Linked DNA regions of Xenopus tropicalis. The protein of the gene in region 1 interacts with the protein of each later gene in a biochemical or structural test. Links are inferred from orthologs where the notes say so. Each region holds a gene or a part of one and is shown on either strand. Other genes may lie near its edges.

Region 1 (10,072 bases):
CATGACTATGGACTGAGCATTGTCTTGCTTTGCCTCTGCTTAGCTGAGTAAGTGACCATTTTCATCATATCATATATGCTGTGACTGTAATGTATTTTTTTTTTTCAGACACAACTGGCTTTTAACTGTACTTTTTATTGTCATTCTCTAGAAGGGACAAGTTGTAGCTATGAAGGAAGCCACATAAGGTCCATTTTCATAGCGGATAACTAAAGACTACAGCAGCCCCTCTTGTATACCTTTGGTATAAATAGATTGAGCATTGGGCTATACAAAACCTACTGAGACACCAGCATGACTCAGGGATGCTTTGGCCATCAGGCTAGGTAAACAGCAAGGAACAGCTAATAGCTACCATGGAACACTTGTAACTTTAAGATCCAATGCCTCTTTCAAACAGACTGACAATGCTTCTAACTACTGAAAAGCATTATAATCTCCAGCAGTAGCAAGAGGCAAACCTCCAGTCAGGAATGGCTACCTTCCGTCCAACATATGTACCTACCAGGCCCTCCACAGTGGCAATGGGGAGTTATTTGTGGTTAGGCATTGGGCTAACACTTGACAGCTGGGCTCTGCCCCCTTAGGCAGCAGAATTGCCCAGAATGCACCTGTTATTATTACCAAGTCATATACAGTTATATACATATTAACTTATTGAGTAGCAAAATCACACCCACTTCAGAAAGAGATTTGTCCTGAGAACATGGTGGTTTGTTTTATATTCACTGTAAAATATCACTTTGGTTGCACAGTGGGCTGAGAGTAGACCGGTGCTTGGCATATAGAAACTACTTGCAGAGGTCCTCGGCTTATAGAAACAGTTAACCGTGACCCTTTGTGCAATGTCAACCCCAACATTCCTTTTTAAAACCTTTACTATATTTTTTAAAAATACTATGATTTATTAAAAGCACCCTGATCCCTATGCTTTGCTAGTCCATACACTCTCTGAATGACCAAGTAAGAGAATGCTGTAGCATTTTGAATCACACTCTGTTCCACTTTTGAACTATGAAGAGAGGAAGAAAGGGGGTGGAAGAGGGTGGTGTGAATTAGCAGCTAGAATCTATAAATGTACTTACACATGAAACAACCACAGTTTTTTCCTTCAGCAGCTAAAACTACAGCACAATACAAAGACATCAGCAGCACATTACGTTGATTTCAGATTGACAAATCCCATTATGCAGCAAGATATGAGATACGCACAGCCTTCAGTTTTTTGGACGGATCCATGTAGAACCCCACCATTGCCACCATTGCCACCAAACCAAGTCAATATGCCTCTACCACCCCCATTCCCGGACTTCAGGAGAAAACGACGTAAAGATGGCACTTGTACTTACTTGCTGATCATGTTCCTTCTGATTTTGCTAGCACTTTTTGGTGTTGGTCTTGGCACCTATAAAATCATCGAGTTGCAAAAGGAACTGGACAACGTTAAGGAGGTACATAACATATTAATTTTAGATTTTTTCTTTATTTTAACCTAACCAACCTAAGTAACTTGCCAGTGTTTTATCTGGCAGCATAGAAAAGCTTTATAATGATATTTCTGACCAAGCTAGGGTTGCTCATTGGTGGCCCTTAAACAGTGATCCAATGCAGACAAATTTCTGGTGGTTCCTCTGTATGCACAGAAAGCTGATTGACTCCGCTGTCCCAGTGTCATGGTTATCTGCTGTACTTCATGGCAGGGCTTTCAGTGGAAGGGCATAAATTACTTGAAAAACCTTTGGTTCTCTCCACATCACCATTTAAAAATGATGGTACCCTTAAATTTGTCATAGAAATAATAATGCAGCTTGGTTTTACAATAAGATATTTTTCAATAATATCACTATAATAGTTTAGTGGTCTATAGAATTCCATTAATTCATGAGAATAGGAAAACTGTGATTACTTTTTTTTATATAATTAACAAATCCCTGGGCAAGTACAGGCATGGGACCCATTATCCAGAATGCTTGGGACCTGGGGTTTTCCGGATAAGGGGTCTTTCCGTAATTCGGATCTCCTACCTTAAATTTGCTAACAAAAAAAAAATTAAACTGTAGTTAAACCCACTAGGATTGTTTTGGCTCCAATAAGGATTAATTATATGTTAGTTGGGATCAAGTACAAGGTACTGTTTTATTATTACAGAGAAAAAAAATAATTTTTAAAAATGTGAATTATTTGATTAAAATGGAGTCTATGGGAAATGGCCTTTCCTTAATTCAGAACTTTCTGGATAATGGGTTTCTGGATAAGGGGTCTGATACCTGTACCTATGTACAGAATTTAAAAAACTTTAACTCCACTTCTTCTAAATGGTGCATTGAGGGATTTTAAAAATGTGCTTGTTCTAGAGCTAAAAAATTAGCTGTGTCGTGGATTGGTTTATATGTGGTATATATTAAAGTAACCATGAACTAAGAAAACCAATGCACCACCTTACTCCTGCTACTGTGTTTCTGTCTATCCAATTGCTTTGGAGGTGCACAGGACGAAGACAGGACCAAAGGTGTTTCTTGCTGCAATTAAAAAGCATATTTTTGGAGAGTATCCAATAGGAGGAGCTCCTGCTCCATGAAACTACTTTTTTCCCCAGACACACTGACATTAAAGCAGTTGGAATATCCATCACTGTTTCCTTTGAGCCCAAGCTTCACCCCTTGTCTAGTAATAGAAAAGAAAGCAACTTAGCAGCTGGAAATAAATAGTATAGTAGATAATGATTTCCATAGTTGCAGTTCATATGCAGATTTCATAAAGCTGATAATGATTTTTGGAAATGCAAATAATCTCCACAAACTTTTTCTTTCTAGATTTCTGGTGACCAGGCATTACCTCCTGCTTTGGAAAAATTAATTGGTGAGTTACAATATGTTTCTCTATAAAATAAAAGTGTGGCATATGCTATTTAGCAGAGTTTATATGGGAGTAAGTTCTAGAAGTGTTCTCCTTTAGCTGCTGCATTTGGTGAGCAACACTTGACGGTTACTTTGAGGTTGTGAAGTACTAATTTCTATTTCTTGCCTATGGCCAATGCAGGCAATTCATTTAACCAGTGTTGGAATGCTTGGTGCTACATCTAATAACTGTGAGCCTTCCTGCAACATCAACAACAATTGGCCTTGGTCTACCTAGCATTTCTCTCACTTTGCACTTTGTGCTTAGGTTAGGACCATACTGGAAAATCAATTGAATGTTTGCTCTTTTTACAGGGTTGAACAAACACCCAACTGAGAAAAAAGAAAGTAGACTTGCTGCACATGTAACAGGTAGGTAATCATATGTGTTTTTAATGCATGAAGTATGGATTCTTAACTTACAAACCCTTGGACATAATAACTACACATGGTACCAGCCCAAGACCTCTGAGGGCCTTTCCCAGCTACTTTGCTGGGAACTCTTCAGTTGCATGTTACATCCTAATATGCAGTAGCACTCTTGCCTGTTGAAAAGGTTCTTCTGAAGTGGGAATAGAGGGGTAGGGGAATATGGTACTGGGTTCTTACAGGCTCAGGTACAACACTGTTGCAACATTGTCTACAGTCGCAGGTAGACTGGGCTTAATCTACAACTGTTTAACGGTGTTATTCAACATAAGCTCAAGAAATAAGGCTTGGCCAATTTTACCTTATAAATATATACTTTCTTGGTTCTGTCCAGTAAGGAGTAGGAAGTAAAGGAGTAGGTAGTAAAATAGATTACCAGTCCTCAGTAGAGGAGTAGGTAGTAAAACAGATTACCAGTCTATCTTTGCATAGAAAGATTATACAAACAAAGGCTGCAGATTAGTTATAGCTTCTGCCACACATGGCGGATTCTTGGCCTTCAGATAAACAAGGTTTATAATATTAAAAATAAGGAACATGGATTTTTAAAAAAAAAATAAATTTAAAACTAAACAGAAGTCCTATATATTATACTGATTCCGAGGGAGGATGTATATAGGTGTGTACTGCCCCATTACCATATATATTATTATTATTTTAAAAATACCTTTTCAGGTAAAGAAGGTAAAGAAGGTAAAGAAGGACCCACTTTGCCATTAGCATGGGAAGAAACATTTGGACGCGCTTTTACCTCTGGCATCCAGTACAAAAACAGAGGTCTAGTGGTGAACCAGACTGGCCTGTACTTCCTTTATTCATCTATTTACTTCAGAAGCACTTCCTGCCAGAGTAAAGAATTGTCCCATACTGTCTACAAGAAGTCCAAGAGGTACCCTGGAGAGCTCATACTGATGCAAAATACAGAGTATCAATACTGCACCTCCAATAACAAATGGGGAAGGCACAGTTACCTTGGCTCTCTGTTTAACTTCACCACGGATGAAACAATCTATGTCAATGTCTCTGATGTTAAACTTGTCGGTTTTGATGAATCCAGGACATTCTTCGGGCTTTACAAACTCTGACAATGTTGGAGTGCTCAAAGGAATTATAACTTACCTTAATACAATGGACAGTGTTGAATGTTAAAATTGAAAACAAGCTATATGAATATGACCTGCTCATAATATGTAACTGTTATACAGTGTGATCATTTTCCAGAATTCTGCAACCAACAATGATACCAACTGACATCAGTGTTGTAATACATGTAGATCTCAATGAGAAAGTCAGTTCCATTATTTCTCACTGTAGCATCCCTGACTTTTTAAACACGGTACGTGCTTTGACATAAACATGCAGGGCTTGTTCAAATACAAATGAATATGGCTTTCCAACCAAATTTACCCATCATGAATTATTTTCACTAAAAGTCCTCAAAGTCCACATTGATACAATATTACATATTGCCAACTCATATCCTGGATGCAATTACACTTCACTATACAAAACCTTTTCAAGCACAGAAATGGCCAAATATTATGTTAAAGAACCACTATTTGTATGTTTAATGGCAAACATGCCAATGATCATGCTTGTTGCTTATAGCAGTCCAAAAGTACAGAGGATGACCGGACAGAAAGAGAACTGAAAGCATTAAACACCTTGTACAAGAGAAGAACATGTATTACTCAAAAGGAAACAGAATGTACAGCAGAGATAGGAAAGTGCGGGATTCTGTTTAAAAGAATATGCGCGGCCGCAGAGTTCCTGCCCAACCACTCTCAAGTCATCAAGTCAAGTGAGATGTATGAAATGAGAATATGAGAGCTCCAGTTTGATTTGCTTGTGTTATGTGGGCAATACATTACAATGGAATTAACCAGCCCTAGAAATGATTACGTTGTTCCCAATGTAGCATGGTATCAGTATCAGTCACTGTTGAATTCTAAAGGTTTCTGAAGTAAAGCAGGCTATGTTAACTAAACAGGGCTAGATGTACTGTTTAAATGACACTAACAGGTGTCCCTTATTGTAAATATATAGATATATAATTTACTAGACTATTTATTTAAGATGTACTCCATGTAGTAGCCTGCTATATTATGATGAATATAAAAGTGAAAATACAAATTTAAATTGTGTGCTAATTAGTATGATTGTTCATGTGATACTGTAAACTGATTACTTTACTGGACATCAACATTTTCTGGGTTAAATTAATTCATGTTAATAAAATCTAACTTTGGGGTTAAGAAGAGTTAGTTTGTTCATCAATTTCTAACATTACTGGTGCTTTCAGGTATAGCTTTCCTTATCCAAAATGTATATTTAAACAGCCTGGACACTTTTTTATTTCTATATATTTTTTGTTTATGTTAGTTACAATGAATACACCCACAGATATTTATTAGGTATACTTGGCTATACAAATATCAGTTTTTGGCAAGAATAAACTCCTTATAAAAACAAGCCTTTTCTTTATTACATAGGGGTGAATTAGATGAGCATAGCTTTCTGTGTGTACTTTAAATTTATTATCTATTTAATGTTATATTTATGAGTAGCTAATATCATACTGCTTACCAGTGATGGTTAATAATAAGACTCATGCCTCGTTTCTATAAAAAAATAGGTATAGAATTGCTCCCATTAGCTTGCCATACAAAAAAGGGGGGCATTTACCAAAATTCACATTTTATTTGTTTTAACAAATCATGTTTTTTGCACTAAACCTTGAAACCATGAAAACCGCCATCTAGAAACTATCAACGTCATGTACAAGTCAGTAGGCAGCTGTCCTGTTTCCAATTGGAAGAGCTTCTTTTGCTTTGTGGTATTAGAGGTTTTGGGATTTTTCAGATTTTCCATTATTGAAAAAACATGAAAAATTTGTGGTTTTCATGTGTTTTTTTTGTTTGTGCTTTTTTTTTATAAGGCTGTTTTAATAACTGATTTATTGTTTTAATTGTGGTTTGAAAAAAACACAAAAATTTGAATTTGGACAAATGGCCCTCCCCTATTTATTAAATTGTGCAGTTTTAATTTTGCAGTGATTCATGTAATTTATGGTAAAAAATTGTGACTGGGAAATTTATCTCAGAAAGTTTTAGGTGGAAAAAATGCAATAATTTTACTACCAACTTAGGTAGCAATGCGCAAAAATTGAGTAAATTGTTCTCTAAAATGAAAGCGTAGAGCAAGCAATCATTTTGCTTTCATTTCTGGTTGGTTACTGGTTGTACAACTGATGATTCCAAATATTGTACTGCTAAAAATAAGGACAGAGAAAGACACAATTAAAATGAAACATATGTTTGTGGCCTTTTTTCACATAAAATGGTTAATTCATTGCCCCCCCCCCCCAAAAGACTAAATCACAAACTCTTTGCTGATATTTTGTGTGAAATGCCCTTTTAGTTTGCAGTAAGGATACACTGATTCTAGGATTAGGTTTGGGATGTGGCTAAATCCTAGCACTGTTTGCAGGTGTTCAGTCAACCCAGGACTGAATGTAACAATTCTTGTTTTTAATTGATGACATTTTTAAAAATGTAATGAGATTTGAATATGATAATCAGGGTTCCCATTTATTTATGTATTTGTCTGAATTTCTTTGTGCAGAATATCATCCAAATTTAAAACTGATGGTTTAGATGCATCCTAGCTTTCAGTTTAATACATTCCCACAGTTGCTTAGTTATATAAAACTGCAAGATTTCCAAGATGTTCCAGGTGATTTCATTCCTGCTTTAATCTATGTCTGTGTATGACTTTCCTCTGGTAACACTTGAGCTAATGTCAGATGGAGAGATTTAGTTGTCCGTGTTAGACCTCTGCTACCTCAGGCAACTAATCTCTCCAAAATACTTTCCACCAGCAACAAAGGGAATCAACGGTGAGAGGCCTACGCATCACTTTTTTGACCCTGGTTTTCCAAATTTGCGCAAAGTTGCCTGCGGGAGGGCGTAAACTTACCTACTGGGTTTTAAATCAGATCCTTTGTGAACTAGGGGTGGGTTCCCAGTGGGTAGGTGTGAACAGATCAAGACAGCACAGAATCTAGTAGAATCATGAGCCTGTTAGAAATCCTTCCCCCAGTATATAATATAAGCAATTTGTTAATATAATGTTGGTTTTTACAAAAAAATTGCCATAATGCTGTTCCTGAAACTTTCTAAACTGAAACAAGTGAAGATAAGTGCAGGTGAAACTTAAACTTAAAAAAGACAGGGCTAAAGACAAATGATGGATAGAATCTAAATAACTGAAGAATTATGGATAGAATCTAAATAACTGGTCAGGGCAGGGAACTCTTGCTGAGTAAAAAGTTTACTGCTTGCAGTTTTCAAATATAATCACTGCAAGTAAATCTACGCAAGCATGATAATATATTTATGTCAATTTGACCACTGGAGGCAACTGGAGTACGTGGATTCACAATAAATGGGTGCTACGATGAGAAACAGTATGGCAGCTTCCAATGTTATAACCGCATAAAAAAGAATGCATGAAAAAATAAAGTGTAATTAAATCCTATTTCCCTTTAAAACCCACCTTCTTATTGTATATGTCCCAAACTCCTTGCACCAAAAGCATGTCTGTGGCACATTAGAGCCATGGTCTAAAACATCCCATCATTTTATTTTAAAAATGCTGTGAGGAAATGCTATTTTCCCAAGCTAGAATGTGTAGTGAAGGCTATACAAGGGTCTGAGCAACTTCTAGCATATAGTTGCAGAATAATGTTACTGAAGCACAATTTACGTACCACTGTACCACCTCTGTACCACCATGATTTACTTGCATTAGTGCTTACAGGTCTATATTTTTGCTTTTAGCAGATAGGATGATTAGATAGGAGTTTAATTATTTGTTGAAATGCAACTAATATAATATAATATCAAGCAGAAGTAATTAGGTTAGCTTAATCAATGCTTGTGTTGCAAGTTCAGTCGGTCGTCCCTGCACGCAATGTACTAAGGATGTGGTCATCAGGACCTTTACATTACGCATTCTGAGAGCAAATATAGCATTTCCTTCCTTTGTACAAACCTTTCCATTACTAATAAAATACCTTTATATAATTTCTTCTAAAGACACCAAAAAGTTATGTATTTTATGTAATATGTTATGTAATTTAGTAACAAAGAGCAGTAGAGATATGTTCTCTCTGTCTATTTTAATAGATATTGCTAATATTTAAGGGAGATGCATGTTTACTAGGACAGTGAATATTGTCAAATAGATGTGCAGTATATGCATTAAAATTATACATTTCTAGGGGATTTCCTTCACTCTTTAAATTCTCAAGCCTAATTCTCACTAGTGACAAACTCATTTTTAACCAATTTTATAACCAAGTTTATAAGCTGATACAGGATCCCTGAATGGCAACGACGAGGCTCGAGGAAGTTACGCTTTGCATTGTTTATTTTTTTATAACAGGGAAAAACATGTCATTGCGTTCCTCCCGTTGTGGGCTACAGCACACATTAACCAATATGTAAGCTAGTTGAGAAATAATGAGAGCAGTAGATCCCACCAGCTGCACAGCTAATTCTGAGTTACTGGGTTATACTTATTACTATGTTATACTGTGCAGAACTTATTTTCAGTGACAGATAAGGAGTGGTAATCCTTGGGCTGCTGCCCCCTGCCCTTACCTCACCTGTGTTGGAATGGATCAAGGGGAGGTCTCATCCCTACACTAAACGTGACTTTCTGGTTAAAAACCTCGACAGATAAGTAACATCTCAGGTAAGGTTCTTACACTGACCAATGGCTGAAACAACACTGCATATCTAAGTATCTAGGACCTCCTTTGGTAATGAGCCCGCCAACTCACTGATCTTTCTCAAAATCCATCCAGTATCCAATAGTACACTTTATATGTTCTAAGTTTCTAACAGGATTCGGTGCATCACTACTCACAACAATAGGAACAGCTGGAAAATATTCAGATGGACTCCTGCTCCCACACATACTGAAGCATACATACAGCCAGGCAGACTTAGGGGCTTTTGGGAGTATGGGAATGGTTCCAGAACAAACCATAACAATCATTCCATTTTGGAATGGTGAATGCCAAATTTTCTGGGCCAACTTTAGATCACATGAGGTTATAGAAAGGTACAATTTGGTGGCCCAATTTCTCCATCTGTTCACATAGAATCCGGCACAAAGACCTCAAACTACATCCGATAACCCATAATGGGCCAAATACAAATTCAAGTTTTTCCCACAGATTTCATGTGTTCATGTGAAAAACAGTGAGATAAGTGTTTCTTAATGAATTGCATCTGGCTCTATGGAAAAATCTGGAAATTAGGAGATAATCTTTCCTCATCAAATTATCAAAATATCTCCTAAATCATGTATCAAAATATGCTTAGACTTCGCTTAATGATCCAGTGATTCACAATATACTTAAAGGAACAGTAACACCAAAAAATGAAAGTGTATAAAAGTGACTAAAATATAATGTGCTGCTGCCCTGTACTGGTAAAAGTTGTGTGTTTACTTCAGAAAGTCTACTATAATTTATATAAATAAGCTGCTATGTAGCCATGGAGGCAGCCATTCAAAGGAGAAAAGGCACAGGCACATAGCAGATAACAGATAAAACACTATTGTATTCCACAGAGCTTATCTGTTATCTGCTATGTAACCTGTGCCTTTTCTCCTTTTTTCCAGCTTGAATGGCTGCCCCCATGGCTACACAACAGCTTATTATATAAATTATA
Region 2 (11,213 bases), on another chromosome or scaffold:
ACCTGATCTCTATAGACTGTAATGTAAAGTTGGATGAGATAAAGTGGGATGGAGTGTTTTGTTCCTGCACCTACATCCACAGTCTATGTATTTCAATGAAAAAGTGTGCAGATAAGGAAAAGGGGGGGAGCACTCACCAGGATAGCCAACTGTAAGTACTTTTCCGTGCTGCCACGCTTCGTGCCGCCCCCAATAAGGCCAGAATATCCAAAGCAAATTAATGAAGAAGCGGAGCACTGGATAACTTATATATAAAACCACATATTTATTTCCATCAGTTAAAAACAGAGCAGAGCATCCTCACCTCAAGCCATGAGGTGAGGATGCTCTGCTCTGTTTTTAACTGATGGAAATAAATGTGGTTTTATATATAAGTTATCCAGTGCTCCGCTTCTTCATTGATTTGTTTTCAATGAAAAAGTGTGTCAGACACCATCAGCGTTCCCTTCTTACGTGTCAGATCATAATCCTTTCATGTAGTTTACACATCAGATTTTTGTATCAGTTCCATTATATTTTGATCCATGCAACTACATCCGACTTGTAAGATGCGTTCTGTCAATCCAACTCCATCTGACAAAAGCTCCCATTGAGTTTAGCCCTAAGATCATAGTACAAATATCTCACATTCTTTTTTTTTCACTTTCGCTTACCGTCTCAGTCTGAGTTGGATAAAACCATTATTATGCTAAAGAATCACAGAACTGTTGTCAATGAACACATTTTGGTAACAAGGTATAATGTTAATGACCCGTCCATGATGAACAAACAATAGAGTTTGGCCCCTTCTTTACAGAGAATGTCCAACTCGCAGCTCTTCAGGTGTTGTGGCCTATGATTCCCATGAGTCTCTGCTAGTCCACAGCTTTCCAATAACAGCAGTTATAGTCCACAGCAGCTGGAGGTCTGCAGGTTTTACATGCTTGTCATAACATTTATAACAGATTTTTCACACAACCTTACTCTAAATCAGTGGCTACATATAAATATGATGAAAATCTGTAAAGCTATTTTTTTCTGTGAATGAACATTAAGTAAAATGTTCAAAAATACTAAACAGCGTCTCTGCAATCCAACCTTTCACTCCCTACAGTTTTGTTAAACAGCTTCATGTGACACAGAGTTTAATAAATACTACCGTTTGCATTCATCTACTATGGTGAACCAAAATTGCACGGCATTTGGGGGTGTGAGATTTCTGGTATAAGCAAGAATGTGCCATGGCACTATACAAACTGGCATGGGCAGATTCCGTCAGCCCTGTGGGAATGATGTAAAGAAGCAGCTGTGTAGGACAAACTCCACACATGTACAATATGGTGCTCTGTGATGCCTGTTTATTTCCGAGCGCTTGGGATTTCGGCACCAGCACTGCATAAGGAACATACACAGAGAAGCTACACAGTAAGTGGGCCATGATGTGAAGGGGACGGGAATGTGTTATTCCATCTTTTCAACATGTTCAGACTTTCCAGGCTGTAAGAGACAAAAAGGAACGCAATAACCAGTTCAGTCTGTTTCCCTGTACAATAACAAGGAAATGTGTGTCCTGCTCTAAGGCTGCTGTTGATATTGTGCCTCTGTTGCTGTGTAGAAATCATCCAGAACGCTTTGTAAATAATCAAATGTTGGCCGTTCCTCTGCCTTCTCCTTCCAGCACTCTTTCATGATGTCATACAGTTCTACGGGACAGTTTTCCATGCGGGGCATACGGTAGCCTCGCTGCAGGGCGGTCATCACATCTGAATTGCTCATTCCTGCAGAGCCAGAAGAAAACCATTAGGTGCTTTGCTTTGCACACAGCTCAACTAACATCCTTACTAAATTATCTCTGTATGTTGCCTCTTCACAACTTCTTAAATACCAACCTTTGTTTGGTATGGCCAGTAGCATACCTTGAAAGTGTTTGGCCCCTCCACAAAAAAATCTTCAGTGGGGCTGGCATGAACCGTCCCTCCTCGAAATCGACAAATATATTAAAAAAAGAGTTTCCTTTACCTGGATAAGGGATCTTTCCAGTGGTTATTATTTCATACAACAGAACGCCAAAAGACCACACATCAGATTTTATTGTAAATGAACCGAAATTAATTGCCTCTGGCGCAGTCCATTTGATAGGGAACTTAGCACCTTAGAAAAAAAAAAAGAGGTGATGGTCACGATCAGTAATAACAGCATGGGTGATATAGAGACATGAGATCTAAATAACAGGTAGAGCACATTTTAAATCTAAAGCTGCTATAGTGTAAGGGACATACTGTTGGCTTATATTGTGCATTTAGATGGACAATAAACAGGATGTTTCCAATTATCTAACAGCACAGGTGGGTTACATTTCACTATAATTTGCCTTGTTTTTTTAACGGTTTGTAAGTAGTTGCCCTTTATTCTGCTCCATGTTGGTGACTTCACCCTTTATAAACAGTAAGTTAGCCAACATGGCCTTACTGACTTTGATTTACACAAAGAGCTGTGTTTGTTCAGCTAACAGACAAACTGAATTATTCATTCTATGGCACCCTGTAATGCTTTGTAAGCGTTAACCGCCCAACTGAATAGGGTACATGTAAGCAATGTAATAGTATAGTCATTCTGGATTTTCCAGTAGTCAATATAGGGGGGCCTCCAACAGCTTTATATGACAGAACTGCAGAGCACTACCTTAGCCGCATCGGCCTTGTAAAGGTGCCAAGGTGTGGTTTCCCTTAGAAATGAGCCCAAGAGTGAGTGAGAGACAGTTTCATGTTCTATTCACTCTTACAGGGCATATTCCTTCCTGGAGTTCTAGGGAAGGTGAAAGGGAGTTTTCTTATTGTTTCTCTGCAATAGCTGTCACACAAGAGCAACTCCATTAGCCTCCCCACCCCTAATAAAGGCACGGACTGACAAACAGAGCCTGAGCACTGATATGAATAAAGTTTGCATGGAAACTATTTACTTATAAGTGAACTAAAGCACTCAGTAAGATCTGGGCTGCTGCTGAGAATCTCAACTTTTGTGTTGTTGGAAATCTTTAAAGCATTAGCAGGTTATATACTGTATGTCTTAGCAGAATCCCCTGGTTTCTGTGCTGCCATGAGATGTCAGTCTGCATCTGCATTATATATATATCAAGAAAGGGTACTGCACACACAGGGACTTAATGCAAAGAAAAAAAGTGTTCATTGAAAAAAATCCAACATTTCAAGCATGGTCTGTGCTCTTCCTCAGGGACAAACCAACAGACTATGTCCCAACAGCCACATTAAATACCCCCCCACCACATAAAAAGTCCCTGTGTGTGCAGTACCTTTCTTTATATTTTATGTTTTACCTGCACCCAGGTTTTGTGAAGTGTGTGCTCCTCTCTGTTCATATATATGATATATACTTTCACTCGTTAGTGAGGACCGCTAGTGGGACCGAAACGTCAGTTTCCCTCAATAAAATTTGCTGTGGATATTATTAAGTCTTGAGGAGTGTGAGATTTTTCAGATGGTGATTATACATATTTCCACACTGCACCCAGGCGAAGTATTCTACTTATACGTGAGTGCCTACCCTCCAATATATATATATATATAATGCACTTATCGAAAGTTTGTGAACCCTTTCAAATGTTCTATATTTTTATATGAATGTGACCTAAAACATCATCCGATTTTCAAAGTCATAATATGAGATGAAATAAACCTAGTTGATCAAATGAAAGAAAAGGCATAATAATTTTTGTTTAATTTGTTTCACTAGGTTTTCTTTATTTAGTTTTAGGATTTGTTTGAAAATAAAATGATGTTTTAGGTCACATAATATAAAATATGAAAGGGTTCACAAACATTCAAGCACCACCGTATGTGCACAAGGGTATTTTACCACACACATTTAATGCCATGAACTGAGACTCTTTACCCCTTTTATTGCCACACAGCTGAGTATCACATGATTTTGCAGATCACTATGCTTCCTATTTACAACAGTTATAAATATTGTGAGCCAGGCAATCACTTTTTTAGGGAGTCACAGTTTAATATTATAGGCATCCTTAGTATCTGTTAGCAACCTGGCACTATCTTATTGTAAATAATGGAAGCAATTTGTTAGGGTAATAAAACAGAGCCCTCGATTGCTGGAACAGATCTTACCATTTGTCTGTTTTACAGCACATTAAAAGCAGAGCACATACCTTCCCTTGCAGTGTACTCATTATCTTCAATTACTCGGGCAAGACCAAAGTCAGCAATTTTGCACATTAAGGATTCTGAAACAAGCACATTAGCGGCTCTCAGATCTCGGTGGATGTAGTTCTTTTTTTCTATATAAGCCATGCCTTCAGCAATCTGTGGGAGAGATTATTAGGTGGTTAAGAGTACCTATAGGAGCCAGTCATAGAAGCCATTAATCTTTTGGAATTTAAAGGAACACTGTCATGGGAAAACATGTTTTTTTTCAAAACACATCAGTTAATAGAGCTTCTCTAGCAGAATCCTGAATTTAAAGTGCAAACTGTTTTTGCTATGTTTAATTTTGAAATGTCACATGGTGCTAGCCATATTCTTCATTTCCCAGGGTGCCACAGCCATGTGACCTGTGCTCTGATAAACTTCATTCACACTTTACTGCTGAGTTGCAAGATGGAGCGATATCACCCCCCTCCCAGCAGCCGATCAGCAGAACAATGGGAAGGGAGCAAGATAGCAGCTCCCGGTAGGTATCAGAATAGCACTTAATACTTTAGCATCTGCTAAACTGAAATGAAAAGTTCTTGTGCATGATTCGTAAAACTAAATGTACAATATTTGTAAGAAGGTGTTAATCTGGCTGCCATGACAATGTGCAAATCTCTTTAAAGGTTTCAATACAATGTAAAACGAGGAAATCTGAGCCGTGGCTAATACCACTGTTGTACAGATAGCTGGAAAAACAGGTTGAATATGACACCAGAATGTGTGCAGTGAAGAGGAAACCATAGCTAAAATGTATATTTCAGTTAAACCCATTATACAAACAAGCTCCCCAGTAAAACCAAAATCCTGTTGCTCACTGATTATCTACATTCCCAGTGAATTAACAGCAAAAAACCATTTAAGTCCAAGATAATTTACTCTTCTACTAAATAATACATACATATATGGAGACAGGGGTACCCCCATAAGACAGTGGGAGTGCTACCTATGTTTTTTGCTTGGTGAAACGCCCCATGAGCCATAGCCCTTGAACAGCAATAAATACAGGTATGGGACCTGTTATCCAGAATGCTCAGGACCTGGGGTTTTCCAGATATGCGGTCTTCCCATAATTTGGATCACAATGCCTAACGTCTACCAAAAAATCATTTTAACATTAATTAAACCCAATAGGTTTTTTCCTCCAATAAGGATGAATTATATTTTAGTTGGGATCAAATAAAAGGTTCTGTTTTATTATTACAGACAAAAAGGAAATTTTAAAAAGAAAAAATAGGATTATTTGCTTGTAATGGAGTCTATCGAAGATGAACTGCCCGTAATTCAGAACTTTCTGCATAATGGGTTTCCAGATAAGGGATCCAATACCTGTACCTTGTACTTGATTCCAGCTAAGATATAATTAATTCTTATTGGAGGCAAAACAATCCTAATGTGTTTATTCAATATTTAAATAATTTTTATCTGACTTAAGGTATGGAGATCTAAATTACGGAAAGATCCCTTATCCGGAAAACCTCAGGTCCCAAGCATTCTGGATAATAGGTCCCATACCCGTATAAGGATTTATTTATTTATAGATTGATGTAATAGGTTATTCACTCTGAGCTGATGGTGTGTGTGGGGCACCCAGGAGCAGATATAACAAAACTCAAGGCACTGATAATCAACTTGGAAAACAATGGCAGGTGTGACTACCGTACCTGAAGCAGGGGCCTAAGTAGCCCCAAAAGCTTAGTTAACCAATTAAAACTCTGACCTACTATATATTTTCTAGTATTATTCAGTCTAACATATGCTTCCTCTCCCTAACTTGTCATCTGCTTATTTTCAGATATACCCCTTCACTGCTTCTTTCTCAGATGCACAAAGTATCTTATTCTGCTTAACCTGAAAGGCGTCCATCATGTTCAGCCCACAAAGAATAACTCTGAACTCTGAAGCTCTACACACGGCAGATATTGTTAGCCATCTTTTGTCTTTAGTCATCCTTTGACTATAGTGGCCAACAGCTGCCCATGTATACATATGCAGAACCAAGGAGGTCCTACCGAACATGCTGGAAAATTCATGAGGGAAAACCCACTGATGCCAAATGCTTACTGGGCCTCTGCCATTTGATCTGGTGGCTGCCTGTACTGTCAAATCTGGCTGAAAGTTTGTAGATAACCTGGTCTGTCCATTTAGCTGCTAGGAGTAGCCATTTTCATATGTGGATATGGAACTCATTTAATAATTACAGTAAAACATTAAAACTATATTATGCAATAAATCCTGATGAATAATATGTTTGAAGTTCTGGTCCTTCTTCATGTACATATAACAAATACAGTATATAGTAAACCTAAAGGTTCCTGGGCCAAATTCATTGCTTTAAGAGGAGGCTACATGTGCACAGACCATCATGCAGTTTGGTCAGTAATGGACTATTGTAGCCCCCCCTTTTGTGCCCCCCCCCCCATCTGTCTGGCTGCTGTGACTGCTTACCTTTGTGTATGTTTAAATGGTATCAGTATTAACTGCCTTCCTGCATTGTTCACACCTTAGATTAAGGCTGTAAATTCCTTCACTGTTCACACCCACTGTATTGTTCACACCTGTAAAGTGCATAGTCTTGATAGGTCTCCCTGTCTCCTTCTCAAGCATGCCTGTGTCATATTCTGCTTGCCCTATGCTGCCTGTGTGTACCATACTCTGCCTGCCCTATGATGCCTGTGTGTACCATACTCTGCCTGCCCTATGATGCCTGTGTGTGCCATACTCTGCCTGCCCTATGATGCCTGTGTTTGCCATACTCTGCCTGCCCTATGCTGCCTATGTGTGCCATACTCTGCCTGCCCTATGCTGCCTGTGTGTGCCATACTCTGCCTGCCCTATGCTGCCTATGTGTGCCATACTCTGCCTGCCCTATGATGCCTGTGTGTGCCATACTCTGCCTGCCCTATGCTTCCTGTGTGTGCCATACTCTACCTGCCCTATGCTGCCTGTGTGTGCCATACTCTGCCTGCCCTATGCTGCCTGTGTGTGCCATACTCTGCCTGCTCTATGCTTCCTGTGTGTGCCATACTCTACCTGCCCTATGCTGCCTGTGTGTGCCATACTCTGCCTGCGTGTGCCATATTCTGCCTGCCCTATACTGTGCTGCCTGTGGGATATCCCTGCAATTATTTGGGTGTATTTATGTGTGTTACCACCTTTAATTTGGCTATAGTCTTAAAAGCTCTTGTGATAACATGGATGTGGTTTGACGAAGGTGTGGTTAAAAAAAAAAACAAGAAACCTGGCCTCCATTACCGGTCCTCCACCATGTAGGCCAAAATAAATTCAATCCCTTGGTACCACAGAAGTTGGGCAGCACTAGACTATACAATTTAATTAAAGTCATGTGCCCTAGTAAAGATGCAGGATTTTGGTCTATTTGGTGAGTTTACTGACATGTGGTGCTGAGCATTTCACTTTTATGTTTTAAAACATCATGTAATTTAGTGCAATTAGGTTAAATGCCAAGAATGCATTACCAAACAACAAACAGAAGACATTCTACAACAGAATATATATGTTCAAATATTTAATTCTTCATTGTAAAATACTTGTCATTGCTAAATGTTGGCCTTTGTTTCTACATATGAACGTTATGTTTGCATTTGTGTTGCTCTCTTTCCCTTATTTCCTATTTACAGTAAGTAAAGGCAACAGTGAGCCCATTGTGTGCGCACCTTGTTCCATTATGTATAAACAGTTGGTGATAACCCAAAACAATAGCACTCTTCACGAGAGCATACACTGTACAATTACTCACTGGCAGTGAATACAAACTATTTTTTTTCTAAGGATTTTACTTAAATTATTGGCAAAAGATTGGAAGCAGTTCATGTAATGCAGATTATAGTTGTTTGTGTCAACAGCTTTTTTGTTTTAGTTGATGGTTATGTATATTACATATACTGTATATGAACACACGTAGTCATGAAAGGTCATCTAAAAATAGCCTTCCTTAGGGTTACTGTTGAACCCAAGAGCAAGCTGCAGGTGAGTTGGGCAAGGATCACACATGCAGCTTTTTTTTGGTCATTGGTCTCAAAGCATTTTCCTTAAAAAAGCTGTATTTAAACACCCCAAATGACCCTTGCTGCTCCCTATAGCTGACAATGGGAATTCAATTGAAAAAAAACATCAGTGGTACATTTCACAGAATTCTCAACTCAAAATGTACACAAATGTTAAATTACTTACTGTTAAATTTCAAGTTACTCTATAGTCTTAACTTTAACATTAGGCATGCTACGGGCTAGCACCAAAAATAGGTCCCCATGCTGCCTGGGGTGTGACCCTATGATCCCTCTAATACACTGAAACCTACTCCTTTTAAAATGAGGCAACATCACCGGTAATGCTTTTTACACAGCATGATAAATATACCCCCTAGAGTGCAGCATACAGATGGGCTAAAGCCCAAAACAGTTCTCCATGCAGCCTGTGGTGTGTCTCCATGATCCCTTGAAAACCTATTCCCTTTAAAACATATTCTTATGAAAATGAAGCACACAATACATTCTAAATTCATTCAAGTGTTGCATAGTAAAGGAGCAGCACATGGGATGGACCTATGTGTTCTTTTACAAGCCCCTTCCATGTGATATAACATTAAAAGGACATAGGTGCTCTGGGCCCTTATACTTAAAAGAAAACTATACCCCCAAACAATGTAGGTCTCTATAAAAATATATTGCATAAACACACTCATATGTAAAACCCCGCTTCATCTAAATAAACCATTTTCATAAAAATATACCTTTTTAGTAGTATGTGTTAATGGTTTCTCCTAAATAGAAAACTGACATTTTAAGAATTAAGGGCCGCCCCCTCCCCCGGGATCATAGGATTCACAGTGCCCACAAACAAGCCAAGGCACACATACATGCTAGGTCACATCAGCCAATTAATGAACAGAGTTCTGACTTTTGCTTTCACACTACTTCCTGTTACAGTTACTTCCTGTCAGGTGATCTCTGAGGGAGCACACAGCCCATCACTAAATGGTGTATTAAGGGAAAAAAGGTAAAAGGGCAATATTTACTGATATATATATTCCAGTTTGGTGAAATTCTTTAATAGCCACTTAACATAATATAAACTATCTGTTGGTTACATATTCATTCTGGGGGTATAGTTTTCCTTTAATGCCTGCTCACTGCAGGTCTTATGTACAGAGTTTCCGACCACCACATTATGAAAAATAACATGGTGAAGGGCAACCTCATTAATTCAGCCTTAAAGAAAAGCCTTTATGAACTGATGTTTTTATTCTAGGAAATACATGATTTAAATTGGATATATTCAACACCCACAAATATATTCAAGGCCAAAATAATGTCTTAACAAAGATTTCCTAGCTAGGAGGTAGAGAATATTGATTAAATGATGGAAAGGTGTTTTTGTACTGTATAAGCAGCCAAGGGAAGAAATACCATGCCAAGAAACATAGTGATAAAAGGTTCAATAATGGCTTGGATGTGTTTTTACCAATATTAAATAATGAGTAGAAAGTGATCCAAGGATCTAACTAACAGTCATTCTGGGGTCACAAAGAAGTTTATAACTCCCACCAGTATTTCCATATGGGTAGGTTTGACTTTTGGTTTCAGTTGAGGATATTGGAGAAGAGTGGATGCCATGTTTAGTATAAACTAATTTGTCTTTCCCACAATGCCCTCCAGAAACCGCAAACATCAAATAATTGTCATTACAAAGACCCACCACCTCTACTGAGGCATACAACAAACTTATAAACAGAATATCAGAAAGTAGGCCATTTAATTTCCAAAAGCTCTAATACATGGAGTACTTGTATTTCCAGTGCTGGGGCAAGTCCTACTGGTGCCCAAGGCCCAACGTGCAGCCAGCCCACCCCTCATGCTGCTGGTTACTCATGACTCCCTCCCCCCCCCACCCCAAATTTCTGAAAACAGGATTTACCTGAGCAGAGAAGTCAATTAATTTAGGAAGGATTACTTTGGCCCCTTCGTCGCTCTTCAGAAAATCTAGAAGACTCCCTGTTAACAAAAATTCACAAGACTGTTAAAGCATTAGGTCCCAAATCATAATGACTTCAGTTTGCTTCTAAAGAGGGGGCATATTTCACTTGCACTGTGTTTCCATAAAAAAGGTGAGAAAAGAGCTGCAAATTGCTTTGACAACTAACTATAGTCTTGTAAGGGTCCATTATCTGGGCATATTATTTTAAAGGAATAAGAGAAACATCAGTGTCCGCAGTCCATTAACTCAAAAACAACCAATTTACAATTAGCAGTTGTAGGTCTCGCGCATTTATAGTTTTATGTAATAAAAGACAAGCAATTTTGCACAGGTCCAATAACCCATAGAATTTAACATTTACTGGCCACCTGTTTAAAATCAAACATCTTATTGGTTACTATGGGTTACTGCACCTTAATGCTTTTTCATACATATAGGGGCTAGATTGCTGAAAGCACCCTTGTTGTGTTACCTGCCTGTGTTAACACATAGCTAGACTCAGAGGGGGTAGGTAATGTAATAAAAGTTGCGATGTCTGTACCAGCTCTAGTGATCCAAGGCAGATATTAGCTCTCAAACAGGTGAATAATGGTAAATGCTACTTGCTGATTGGTTGCTTTGGGTTTTAGGCTGATGCCACACGAGGCGCAGGGCTGATATTTTCGGCAAGTGGAAAAACGCTTGGCGAAAATTCAACCCTACGCGTGCTACTTGTGCCTGCACCCGAATGAATGGAATACGCTCGGGTGCAGGCACATGTAGCCGATATACGCATGAAAACGCAAGACTTCGCATTCTCTCGCGTTTTCATGCGTATATCAGCTACATGTGCCTGCACCTGAGCGTATCCCATTCATTCGGGTGCAGGCACAAGTAGCAGGCGTAGGGCTGAATTTTTACCAAGCGTTTTTCCGCTTGCCGAAAATATCAGCCCTACGCCTCTGTGGCATCAGCCTTAGACTTGGCTGACACTTTTATTACATTAACCCAAGAAGGCAAAGCAATAGAAGTTGT
Region 3 (11,213 bases), on another chromosome or scaffold:
GCACAGTGCTTCCTTAAAAGTGAGTGTATTTCTAGGAATGAGGATGCAATTGGTTTTGTCTCCAGCACCTTCCTCAAAACATGGGTAACATCTTTATTGTTGAGAGGACAAAATACTTGGCTTTGAGAACTTTAAGCATATCTTTCACTCTTTTCTTTCTGCTTAACCCTGCAAGTGCTGTCTGCCACCTTAATAAAATGTCATATTGCTTCTGTTGTTGATATTATAGATCAGCGACATTATTTTAAAATTACAAATCCAAGAATGATTAATAGTCAATAGAGGCACCTTTCTTATTGTGCTAATTCGTGATCCCAACCAACCAGGCAGAACAATTGTCTTATCACAGACAGAAGCAAAAATTCAACAGATCATTCAATTGTATCTGACATATCTCTAATGCAAAACCACTGAGCCTTACAGGATGCTAAAGGGTTCCTCTCCACCCTTTTGTGAAATTGGCTCCGACTTTAAATATGCTCAGTTCTGCTTGTATGTGCTTTATCTTTTCTTTAGTGATGCTTAATCTTGCTTCATGTTTTCGTTTCAATTTTTTCCTGTCTTTTCTGCCTTCTTCTTTCAACTCTCATCAGAGAGAGCTGCAGGTCTTTGTTGCCGCTTGGTAGTACCATGTCATAAAGGAATGCCAAGACTTACAGACCTGTCTGTCAAAACCAAAGATGTTTGGGAAATACCAAGAGAATCACTCCAGTTGATCAAGAGACTGGGGAATGGGCAGTTTGGGGAAGTATGGATGGGTACGCAGTGAATATATTTTTATAAATCTAATAACCTGCTCTTGTGTGGAGCAATATGAGGAAAGATGGAAAGTGGGTGCAAACAAGAAGCAGGAAGTTTGTGATGTAGGTATTAATCCATGAAAACCACAATCCCCTTTCTTTAGCCTCCAGTGTGACCTGTTGAGGACTTTACTATGGCCAGAATATTAGAAGTTTTAAAAATATATAAAAACTGAGTTGTCTACTATAATGTGGCGTTGATAAATACTTTACACCAATCACCTTCCATCTTTCTTATTGCATGCTGTGGTTTGACATAAATGTATTTTGTTTTTTTATTAATTCCTTTTCCTATAGAGAAAGCTGATGGTTTGTGTTTTAATTTAACTCTGATTGCACCGAATTATACTCCACAAACTGTTGGACTGGCTAAGGATGCATGGGAGGTTGCACGGAATACAATATCTTTGGAGCAGAAGCTTGGTCAGGGCTGTTTCGCTGAAGTGTGGTTTGGTAAGGTGGACAATATTTCATGCTTAGGAGAAAACATTCTACTTTTTAAACAATATTATCTCTAAAAAAGTCACTTAGCATCAATGGCAAAGAGAAATTGTGCCAGAGATTATTAATCTCCAGGTTTCCACATAGGCTACAGTAGAGAATTTATGAAATTATTAAGTATAAAACATAGGGGCAGATTTATCAAAATGTGAGTTTAGAGCTTAATACATACAAACTCACCCACATTCTATTAATTCCTATGGGATTTTTAGATACTTATTCATCAATGGGTGAAAGTTAGAACCCACCGTTTGATAAATACATTTCTACAAATCCCATAGGAATGAACTGAACATGGGTGAGTTTTTATGTATTAAGCTCTAAACTCGCATTTTGATAAATCTGCCACATAAGGTGTTTATTATATTGACAATGGTGCATTATTAAATGGTAAGGTTATAGAAAACCATTAGTCCATCAAGTTTGGCATATCTTTTCATATATTTATATAATGGAGAGGTGTCTGTCTATATAACCATCTGTCATTATCTATGACACAAAGTTAGCAGTGAATTTCATTGATTCCAATCTGCTGTCTGGTTATCTAGCTAGCCATGGCAACCCAACAGTAGAACAGAAAACTGTGAATATAAAATAACAAAAATTAAAAATTAAGGCTACTTAAAAGCTGGCTTAGAATAATACTGTGTGCATCATATTAAAAGTTAATTTTAGGGTGAACAGACCCTTTCAGTATGTGTGTTTCATAAATTCCGTTAAATTTAACTGCAGACTGACAAATGGAAGGTGTCACTATAAATAACAGAAATCCATGCCTGAAACTAGGGGTACAGAGAATGTACATACTACATACATACATACATACATATAAGCATATATACACACTTCAGCAGAATTTGTTGGTGGTCAGATCCAAAAAGCTATGGATTCAGTGCATCCCTAAATAAAACCTAGCCACGGTTTCTGTATTCCTCTGTGATTGTGACCTTTACCATTGTGATTGTAGCATGTAATTACAATCCAAAACCAATTATCCTATTAACACTTTATTTCCACACTAACTTTCCTTTCTGAATGTAGTTTTAAATTTGCATTAACATTGGAAATAGGTGAGATTTTAGTGTGAGAATATTGTTTTTTTCTTTTCTTGGTGGGTGGGCTTTTTATTGCATGCAGCTTGCTTTTAAAGTGCATGAGTATTTGTGATTGCATGCCAAGCTCTGTGTGGGAAAGGAGGGGTCCATGCCAATGGTTATGAATTCATACCAGCAGGCCTTTAAAGTGGCAATAAATATCAAATAATTGGAAACACAGCTATCATTAAGTTTATTTTATTTAGTATATGCATCCTGTGGCATTGCTACAAAGGTAACAGGAGCTGCCTGTTAAAGGGCAAATATACCCCCACACAATTTCTTTATAGATTTTGCATAGCACTGGAGAATTGCCACCCTAGAGCCAATGGCATGGGTCCCTTCTTCCGTTCCTTCTAAATGCTAGCTGATGCTAATGTGCATATTCTTGGGTATGTTGTGTTGCAGGTACATGGAATGGAAACACAAAGGTGGCGATAAAGACACTGAAGCCAGGCACCATGTCTCCAGAATCTTTCTTAGAAGAAGCACAGATCATGAAGAAACTGAAGCATGATAAGCTTGTGCAGCTCTATGCTGTAGTGTCTGAGGAGCCCATTTATATTGTCACCGAGTACATGAGCAAAGGTCAGGATTCTAAAAGTCTCTTCTTAGATATAATACTTATTAATTAGTAAATTATGATCATATGATGTCAGACTGACATTACTGAAACACACAGATTGTATTGAACACATAATACCCATGACACCCCAGTTATTTCAACTGAACAAATACTTCCACTAAGCCTGCTTTATCTGTATCTTTAATGTTGTATGGTTAGAGATGACAATTTCTCCAGAGACCCAAATTTAAAGATAAGATGTAGAAGCAAAGTGAAATAACTGCCTCTTTAAAGCCCCCAGGAAGCCCCTGACATGCATAGGGGTATTAATGTGGGTTTCATTGCTCTCTTTGTGACGGGGAAGATGCATATCATCTACAAGTGCAGATGCATGCCTTGCAATATCTGGAAGTGCTTGACTAGCAGAAGTCTTCACTGTGCATGGCCTTCCTTTAGTGTAAATAGCCATTACACTGCATTACAGAAGTGTATATTTTCTGGTTGCTGCTGTTGGAATAGGCTCTCTTCTGCTAGTATTTACAAGACACATTCTGGTTCATGTAATGGATGGAACTATATAATAAGCGTTTAGGAGTAAGACCCACAGTGATGTATTTTTCTTCTGCATGCCAAGTGAGCCCTGCTCCTACAGCAGACACCTCAGGCACGTACGGTAAAGGGTTCTTTACCTGAGCATTTGGTGCGGAAGAGTAGTATGGGTAGTGTCACTTCATACCTGAACAGGATGCAGCAGATATCAGCTGCCTATCTGCACTAAAGGATGAGATTTTTGCTTGACAATATTATACCTTAAAGGAAAACTATACCCCAAAACAATGTAGATCTGTATAAAAATATACTTCTTAAAAAGATCATATATAAAACCCTGCTTCATCTAAATAAACATTTTCATAAAAATATACTTTTTAACCCCCCTTCCCTCCCCCCAACCCCCTATGCGACCCCAACTTTACTCTTTCTATCTTCCCCCCACATGTTTTATATGTAACCTACCTTGTTGTAAAACAAAAATTAAAAATAAAGTTTTAAAAAATAAATAAAAATATATATACTTTTTTAGTAGTATGTGCTGTTGGGTTATCCTAAATAGAAAATTGCCATTTTAAGAATGAAGGGCCGCCTCCTGGGATCATAGGATTCACAGTGCACACAAACAAGCCAAGGCACACTTACATGCTAGGCCCCATCAGCCAATTAATGGACAGAGTTCTGCCTTTTGCCTCCACACTTCCTCCTGTTACAGTGAGAGCTGCATTATTTCCGGTCATGTGATCTCTGAGGGAGCACACAGCCCATCACTAAATGGTGGATCAAGGGAAAGCATGTAAAAGGGCAATATTTACTGATATATATACATATATAGATATATACACAAGCCTTGGGGCTCCCCAAAGACAAATTCAGCTGTTGTTAGGGATATTCTTATATATCCTATTAATACATCTGGAATTTCTAATTTAAAAAAGTAATAAAGTTGGTTAATTTGAATATTGTTCTAATGCAGGTAGTTTACTAGATTTCCTAAAGGATGGAGAAGGAAGAGCCTTGAAGTTGCCAAATTTAGTAGACATGGCTGCCCAGGTACAGTAAAGTTTCATTATTAATTAAGGTCATCATTACTCAAACTGCAGTCTAAGCTTCATTAATCAACTCCATATTATTGAATTTATTTTTATTATTGCCTTTTTTTACTTACTGTTGCAAATTTATTTACTAATGTTTTCTATTTTTACTGACAGGTTGCTGCTGGCATGGCTTATATTGAGAGAATGAATTATATACACAGAGATTTGAGATCTGCAAATATTTTGGTTGGAAATGGCCTTATTTGCAAAATTGCTGATTTTGGCCTTGCTAGATTGATTGAAGACAATGAGTACACTGCAAGGCAAGGTATGAAAGCCATGATGATGTGCTTTTAAAGAATGGTAACAGGAACTTGGAAAGCAGTATGTAGATTCATTATCAATATGTATTACATATAAAAGCAATCGTACATAGAGTGATTTCAGGCACTTTGGTGCTGCCAGTAGCTTAGTCGTTGGCATATAATCATCCCCCCCCCCCAGTGCTTGTGTAAACAATTGTCAGGTAGCTGTCTCTTGTAAAATTGTCAATCTGCAAGATGCAAGACATTGCCCAAGCTTAATTGGCTTCCTTTAAAAACACACAAATAACACTTCCATGTTTTTTGAATGTAGTGGGAAGCTGTTGTAGCTTTCTATAATACATTACATCCTCCTATTATGGAGGAACTCAAAGATAAGGCTTGTCATAACTAGTAAGGTCATTTCTATACTGTACATCAGACCTACAGTCCAAACCAAGCACCATTCCTGCAGTCCACATTTTGGTTCCTGCCTGCACCATTGCTGTTTGGTTTCTGAATCGGGGCTGTTTAAAGGAGAAGGAAAGGCTAATAAAGTGTTAATTTCAAGCTGCAGGCATACTTTCAGTTCTCTCAATAGTGCCCTTAAGTCTCCCCATATTTTGCCTATTCAGCCTCATAGGAAAAAAGAACCCTGAGCTTTGTAAAAAAATTCCCATATTGCCACGCTCCTGCACCAAGACCATGACCTCTGTACATGCGTAGTTTGTAAGACTATGAGGAAGCTTCCTGCTGATTGGCTCAGATCCACATTCCTAAGGGCGGGGGGGGGGGGTTGTTAGCATTCTTATGGGAGAGAGGAGAGAGCTGTGCAGACTCTGGCACAGAAAAAAGTAGACAAGAAATCGTGTATTTCTTTTGATAGACAACTCAGTGCATTAAGTGCTATTTACATAGACCATTCTGATAAAGCTTACTTAGTTATTACCTTTTCTTCTCCTTTAAAGGAACAGTAACACCAAAAAATGAAAGTGTATAAAAGTAATTACAATATTATGTACTGTTGCCCTGCATTGCTACAGCTGGTGTGTTTGCCTCAGAAAGACTACTATAGTATATATAAGTAAGCTGCTGTGTAGCCATGGGGGCAGCCATTCAAGCTGGAAAAAAGGAGAAAAGGCACAGGTTACATAGCAGATAACTAGTAGATAAGCCCCATATAATGGGGGTTTATCTGTTATCTGCTAAGTAACCTGTGCCTTTTCTCCTTTGAATGGCTGCCCCCATGGCTACACAGCAGCTTACTTATATAAACTATAGTAGTCTTTCTGAGGCAAACACACCAGTTGTAGCAATGCAGGGCAACAGTACATAATATTGTAATTACTTTTATACACTTTCATTTTTTGGTGTTACTGTTCCTTTAAGGCTCTGGGCAAAGATCTTGTTGAATAGCAAAAAAATTGACCATGCCTACTTTGTGGCCACAACTTTAAAAACTATACCTATTTCACCAAAACATATCCCAGAAATGGATAATGAGCATATTAACCCCATCTGTTCCAGTTTAATCACTGTGTAGAAATGACCAATGAGCACTCCACACACGCCAGCAAGATCAGTAGATACAGTGCAAGCATTACATGCACTTGCTCAAGCAGAATACCAATAGCAAAGTTTTCTTCTTTTCTTGTGCTCCCACGCTGCTTGGCTTTCTCTCTCTGCCTGGCTTAAACACTTGTGAAAAAACCCAAGATGGCCATGCATTCCACAGTGCAATGAATTTCCTGAAGAGCAGGGAAGAACATTAACGCTGGGTGAGGAAGGCAGCAGCATAGGGGGGTAAAGCTGAGAAGGAGGGAAAAAAAGACATAGTGGCAAAAATATAACAGCTGCAAAAACATAAACATTCCAGCTGTTTAAAATCTCATCATATTTCATACAGTCGACATATTCTATATGGGTCACAGCACTAGCTTGTAAACTAGGGCAATGTATAAGAAAATAAATTGATTTTACATATAAAAGCTCTGGCTGCCAAAATTATGCCGAACTACAGTTGCCAAAATCCTCCGGTTACAGCTATTGATGTGTTCCTGGGGGCCTGTACCAGATCCCTGCTGTAAAGGGATATTTAAAATAGAAACCAGAGAGAGTTAGTGATGCTTCAAGTTCAGAATCCCTGTTGTATTGATATTTTCCTTGGATCAGCAGGTTCCCGAGAGCATAATTAAATGGCAAACAATTGCAGCTTTAGGGTGATACATTAAATGCATTTTTCTACATGCCTTTAGCATTAGGATGCTTTTATTGCTGATAAATAGGCCCCATGGTATGAAAGTGGTTAGGTGTGGTGTATTGCTTGATAAATATGTCTATAATCAATGCCTCAGCTCAGTTTGGGAGGTCCCAAGCATGAATATATACAGTGAGGAATGTAAGTATTTGAACACCCTGCGATTTTGCAAGTTCTCCCACTTGGAAATCATGGAAGGGTCTGAAATTCACATTGTAGGTGCATTCCCACTGTGAGAGACCGCATTTAAAAAAAAATTCAGCAAATCACATTGTATGATTTTTAAAGAATGTATTTGTATTGCACTGGTGCACATAAGTATTTGAACACCTGAGAAAATCAGTGTTAATATTTGGTACAGAAGCCTTTGTTTGCAATTACAGAGGCCAAACATTTCCTGTAGTTCTTGACCAGGTTTGCAGACACTGCAACAGGGATTTTGGCCCACTCCTCCACACAGATCTCCTCTAGATCTGTCAGGTTTCAGGGCTGTCGCTGAGCAACATGGAGTTTCAGCTCCCTCCACAGATTTTCTATGGATTTAGGTCTGGAGACTGGCTAGGCCACTCCAGAACCTTGATATGCCTCTTACGGTTATCCTGGCTGTGTGCTTCAGGTCATTGTCATGTTGGAAGACCCAGCCAGGACCCATCTTCAATGAGGGAGGGAAGGAGGTTGTTGCTCAAAATCTCACAATACATGGCCCCATTCATCCTCTCCTTAATACTGTGCAGTCGTCCTGTCCCCTTCACAGAAAAGCACCCCCAAAGCATGTTTTTACCACCCCCATGCTTCAGACCTACTGTGCAATGCATGATTTAAAAACCATGACGGCGTAGTGTTCTACTGACAGTGACCTTTAAACTGTGGTCCCAGCTCTCTTCCCAGCTCCTCCCTTGTAGTTCTAAGCTGATTCCACACCTTTCTTATCATCAGTGATACCCCACAAGGTGAGATCTTGCATGGAGCCCCAGTCCTAGGGAGACTGACAGTAGTCTTTTGCCTCTTCCATTTTCTAACAATTGCTCCAACAGTTGATCTATTTTCACCAAGCTGCTTGGCAATTGCCCTGTAGCCCTTTCCAGCCTTGTGGAGGTCCACAATTTTGTCTCTGGTGTCTTTTGACAGCTCTTTGGTCTAGTGGTATTAGTTGGAGTCTGACTGTGGGGTGGACAGGTGTCTTTAAAGAGCAGGTGCTACTAATTTAGATTAATGAGTGGAGTAGAGGTGGACTTTTTAAAGGCAGAGTAACAGGTCTTTGAGAGCCAGAATTCTTGCTGATTGCCAGGTGTTCAAATACTTATGTGCAGCAGTGCAATACAAATACATTCTTTAAAAATCATACAAGTGGTTTCTTGAATTTTTTTTTAAATGCTGTCTCTCACAGTGAGAATGCACCTACAATGTGAATTTCAGACCCCTCCATGATTTCCAAGTGGGAGAACTTGCAAAATCGCAGGGTGTTCAAATACGTATGTTCCTCACTGTATGTGTGACTAGGCAGAGAAAAAATGAGCTAATGTGCTTCAGTATGCTAGCTGCTAGTAATGCTATTGCAGATTTAAAAAAATAAATTTAATATAAGCTCTGGGTATATGCAGGTTATATTGTCTATTTGTAATAGGAATCTTTAAGATTAGTTCAAAGTCACAGAGCTCCTTTTTACATCCCTGTGAGGCATGAGGGGATGTTCTTAAAATTACATTTCTTGATAGATATAGCTCCACAGACTTATTAGATTGTAGCAAGGTCATATGGTATTCTTATGCCCTATGTTATTTCACATCACAGCCCATTAATATCCTTCACTAACAGGCCTGGACAGACAATCTGTGGGTTCTGGCAAATGTATGTATGTATGTATAACTCTATTTATAAAGCGCCACAAGGTTATGCAGAGCTATACAATCTTACAATATACAAAATTACATACAGGGAAGACAAGTATTATAATAAATACAATAAATAAATAAGTATAAATACACAGGGAGTAAGTGCCATGTAGTATGAGACACAGTAGGGAGGAGGTCCCTGCCCCGTAGAGCTTACAATCTAAGTGGTTGGGTAACATACAGGCACAAACTGGAAGGTAAGAGTGCACTAAGTATGGACATTTGCCATTAAGCGCAGGACTAGGCAAAATAATGTTTAAGTGCTCCAGAAGGTAACAGCTGAGCTTTATCTTAAAGAGAGTGGGTGAGTGTTCCCTACAGAGGGATTTAGGGATAGAGTTCTAGAGGTAAGGAGCAGCGAGATAGAAAGGTTTAAGACGAGAAAGCGCAGTGGGTGCCAGAGGGGCTGCTGTAAGATGCCTTAGACAGTCACTATTTATTGGGCCTATGGGGGCTGTTTGGGCCTCTGTGTACTTGAAATGCTGGGGTCTATTTTGAATGCCAGTCCAGACCAGTTCACTAAAGTCTTGCAGTGGACAGGAATTGTGTAGTCAAAGGAAAAATATACCCCCCTTATGTAAAGAAGGTGCATAAGCACTGTCTGAACATCAATTTACAATGGGACAAAGTAATATCCCTTCAGTGTGTGGCCTTCCAAACTGAAGTTTGTTGAAGGACAAACTGTCGAATGTGACTATTGTTGTACAACCTATATTTAAATAATTTGTCATTATTCATCCTACATGTTTATTGCAAAACTTCAATAAAATGTTTTAAAAAAACAAACAAACAAACAAACAAACAAACTGAAGTTTGGATTCGAAAACTGTTGGTCACCATATTGCCATTCTGATATATGAATCTTTATTTGATTCTGGTTGAGGCTTTATCAAATAATCATATATTTATGCTGCAATTGGAACTATTATTAATGGTAAATATGATAAATGACTTAACTGTTAGTTTATTTTAGAATACTCCTCCTGGAGTCTGTTGAAGATTACAACTACAAATGGCGTAATTGTCATTTTCTTATTTTTTTCTCTACAGGTGCAAAGTTTCCCATAAAATGGACAGCTCCTGAAGCAGCACTCTATGGAAGGTTCACAATAAAGTCAGATGTGTGGTCATTTGGAATTTTACTGACAGAGCTTGTTACAAAGGGAAGAGTTCCCTATCCAGGTAAGTGGCTGCCTGCTATTAAGGATAGTGGTATATCTAGCCTTATCAGGAATTATATATTCTGCTATCTTGGAATAATGCAAAACAAGGGGCAGATTTATCAGATGCGAGATTAGAGCTCCCCACAAAAAAAATTCACCCACTTTCTGTTCATTCCTATAGGATTTTTAAATGGTGAACTCTAACTTTTACCCATTGATAAATACACTTCTAAAAATCCCATAGGAATGAATAGAAAGTGGGTGTATTTTTTGTGGTGTGCTTTAATCTCACATCTGATAAATCTGCTTTGCAGTGAAACATTTGTTCTCATTTAGATGGCAATGACCAGAAGCAAGAGGGGATAATATATGTAGCTCACATAGTTAGGACTGATGCAAGAGGGGATAATATACGTAGCTCACATAGTTAGGACTGATGCAAGGACACTGCTTTGATCATATGTTATACAAACTGTGTCTCTTTTTTTTTTCTTTTTACTATGCAGACACTTTTTTTAAGTTGTATAGTTGAGTGCTAATGCAATATGTATATATATCCATGCATTTATGACTCCAGGGGGGCACAAGTGTAAAAGCACTACAGGGCACAAGAGTGCATCTACTTGTTCCCCCCATCCACACTTGGCACTATGGGCCAAAAATGTATCCACTGATAAACCCTGGGCATAAGTGATCTTTCACTTCTGTCCACTGTGTCTGTAAATGACCACTGTAATGAAAAATGATGTAGGCTTGCGTACCACAGCATACTCAGTGGGACTGAAAAGAGGAACTTTTTACTAGAATAAATCAGAATTATGTGTTTATTGTTTTGAACTAGGAAAAGTCTCTGGTGAGGTGTAATTAGTGCAGAAGTCATAGTTTAGAAAAGGCCTTGACACTTTGGGGTCATCTTCTGCTGTATATGGTGTACAGTAGAAACTGAAAGTGCGGGTAGGCCAAAGGGTGTAATTGAGATCAGCTCAACAGATCAAAGGCAATGTAACTTCATGGAGGCGCATTTACTAAAAATCTGCACAAGGAAAACCAGAC

The links.
Region 2: the proteins of faslg (region 1) and lyn form a complex in vitro, tested with the Homo sapiens proteins (2 studies listed by BioGRID, with this or other methods). The link is inferred for Xenopus tropicalis from reciprocal best matches to the Homo sapiens genes FASLG and LYN.
Region 3: the proteins of faslg (region 1) and fyn form a complex in vitro, tested with the Homo sapiens proteins (4 studies listed by BioGRID and IntAct, with this or other methods). The link is inferred for Xenopus tropicalis from reciprocal best matches to the Homo sapiens genes FASLG and FYN.

What each region holds. Positions count from the first base shown.
Region 1 is NC_030680.2:107,199,922-107,209,993, reverse strand, and holds faslg (tumor necrosis factor ligand superfamily member 6), read left to right. Parts: upstream 1-1,123; 5' UTR 1,124-1,187; coding exon 1,188-1,451; intron 1,452-2,813; coding exon 2,814-2,859; intron 2,860-3,212; coding exon 3,213-3,269; intron 3,270-4,001; coding exon 4,002-4,411; 3' UTR 4,412-5,782; downstream 5,783-10,072. UniProt on the Homo sapiens protein: Cytokine that binds to TNFRSF6/FAS, a receptor that transduces the apoptotic signal into cells. Involved in cytotoxic T-cell-mediated apoptosis, natural killer cell-mediated apoptosis and in T-cell development.
Region 2 is NC_030682.2:115,674,408-115,685,620, reverse strand, and holds the end of lyn (tyrosine-protein kinase Lyn), read right to left. Parts: intron 10,217-11,213; coding exon 10,140-10,216; intron 6,451-10,139; exon of another isoform or gene 5,998-6,450; intron 4,684-5,997; exon of another isoform or gene 4,644-4,683; intron 4,317-4,643; coding exon 4,163-4,316; intron 2,131-4,162; coding exon 1,999-2,130; intron 1,758-1,998; coding exon 1,555-1,757; 3' UTR 417-1,554; downstream 1-416. UniProt on the Homo sapiens protein: Non-receptor tyrosine-protein kinase that transmits signals from cell surface receptors and plays an important role in the regulation of innate and adaptive immune responses, hematopoiesis, responses to growth factors and cytokines, integrin signaling, but also responses to DNA damage and genotoxic agents.
Region 3 is NC_030681.2:76,824,675-76,835,887, forward strand, and holds part of fyn (tyrosine-protein kinase Fyn), read left to right. Parts: intron 1-593; coding exon 594-758; intron 759-1,097; coding exon of another isoform or gene 1,098-1,253; intron 1,254-2,803; coding exon 2,804-2,983; intron 2,984-4,485; coding exon 4,486-4,562; intron 4,563-4,720; coding exon 4,721-4,874; intron 4,875-10,047; coding exon 10,048-10,179; intron 10,180-11,213. UniProt on the Homo sapiens protein: Non-receptor tyrosine-protein kinase that plays a role in many biological processes including regulation of cell growth and survival, cell adhesion, integrin-mediated signaling, cytoskeletal remodeling, cell motility, immune response and axon guidance.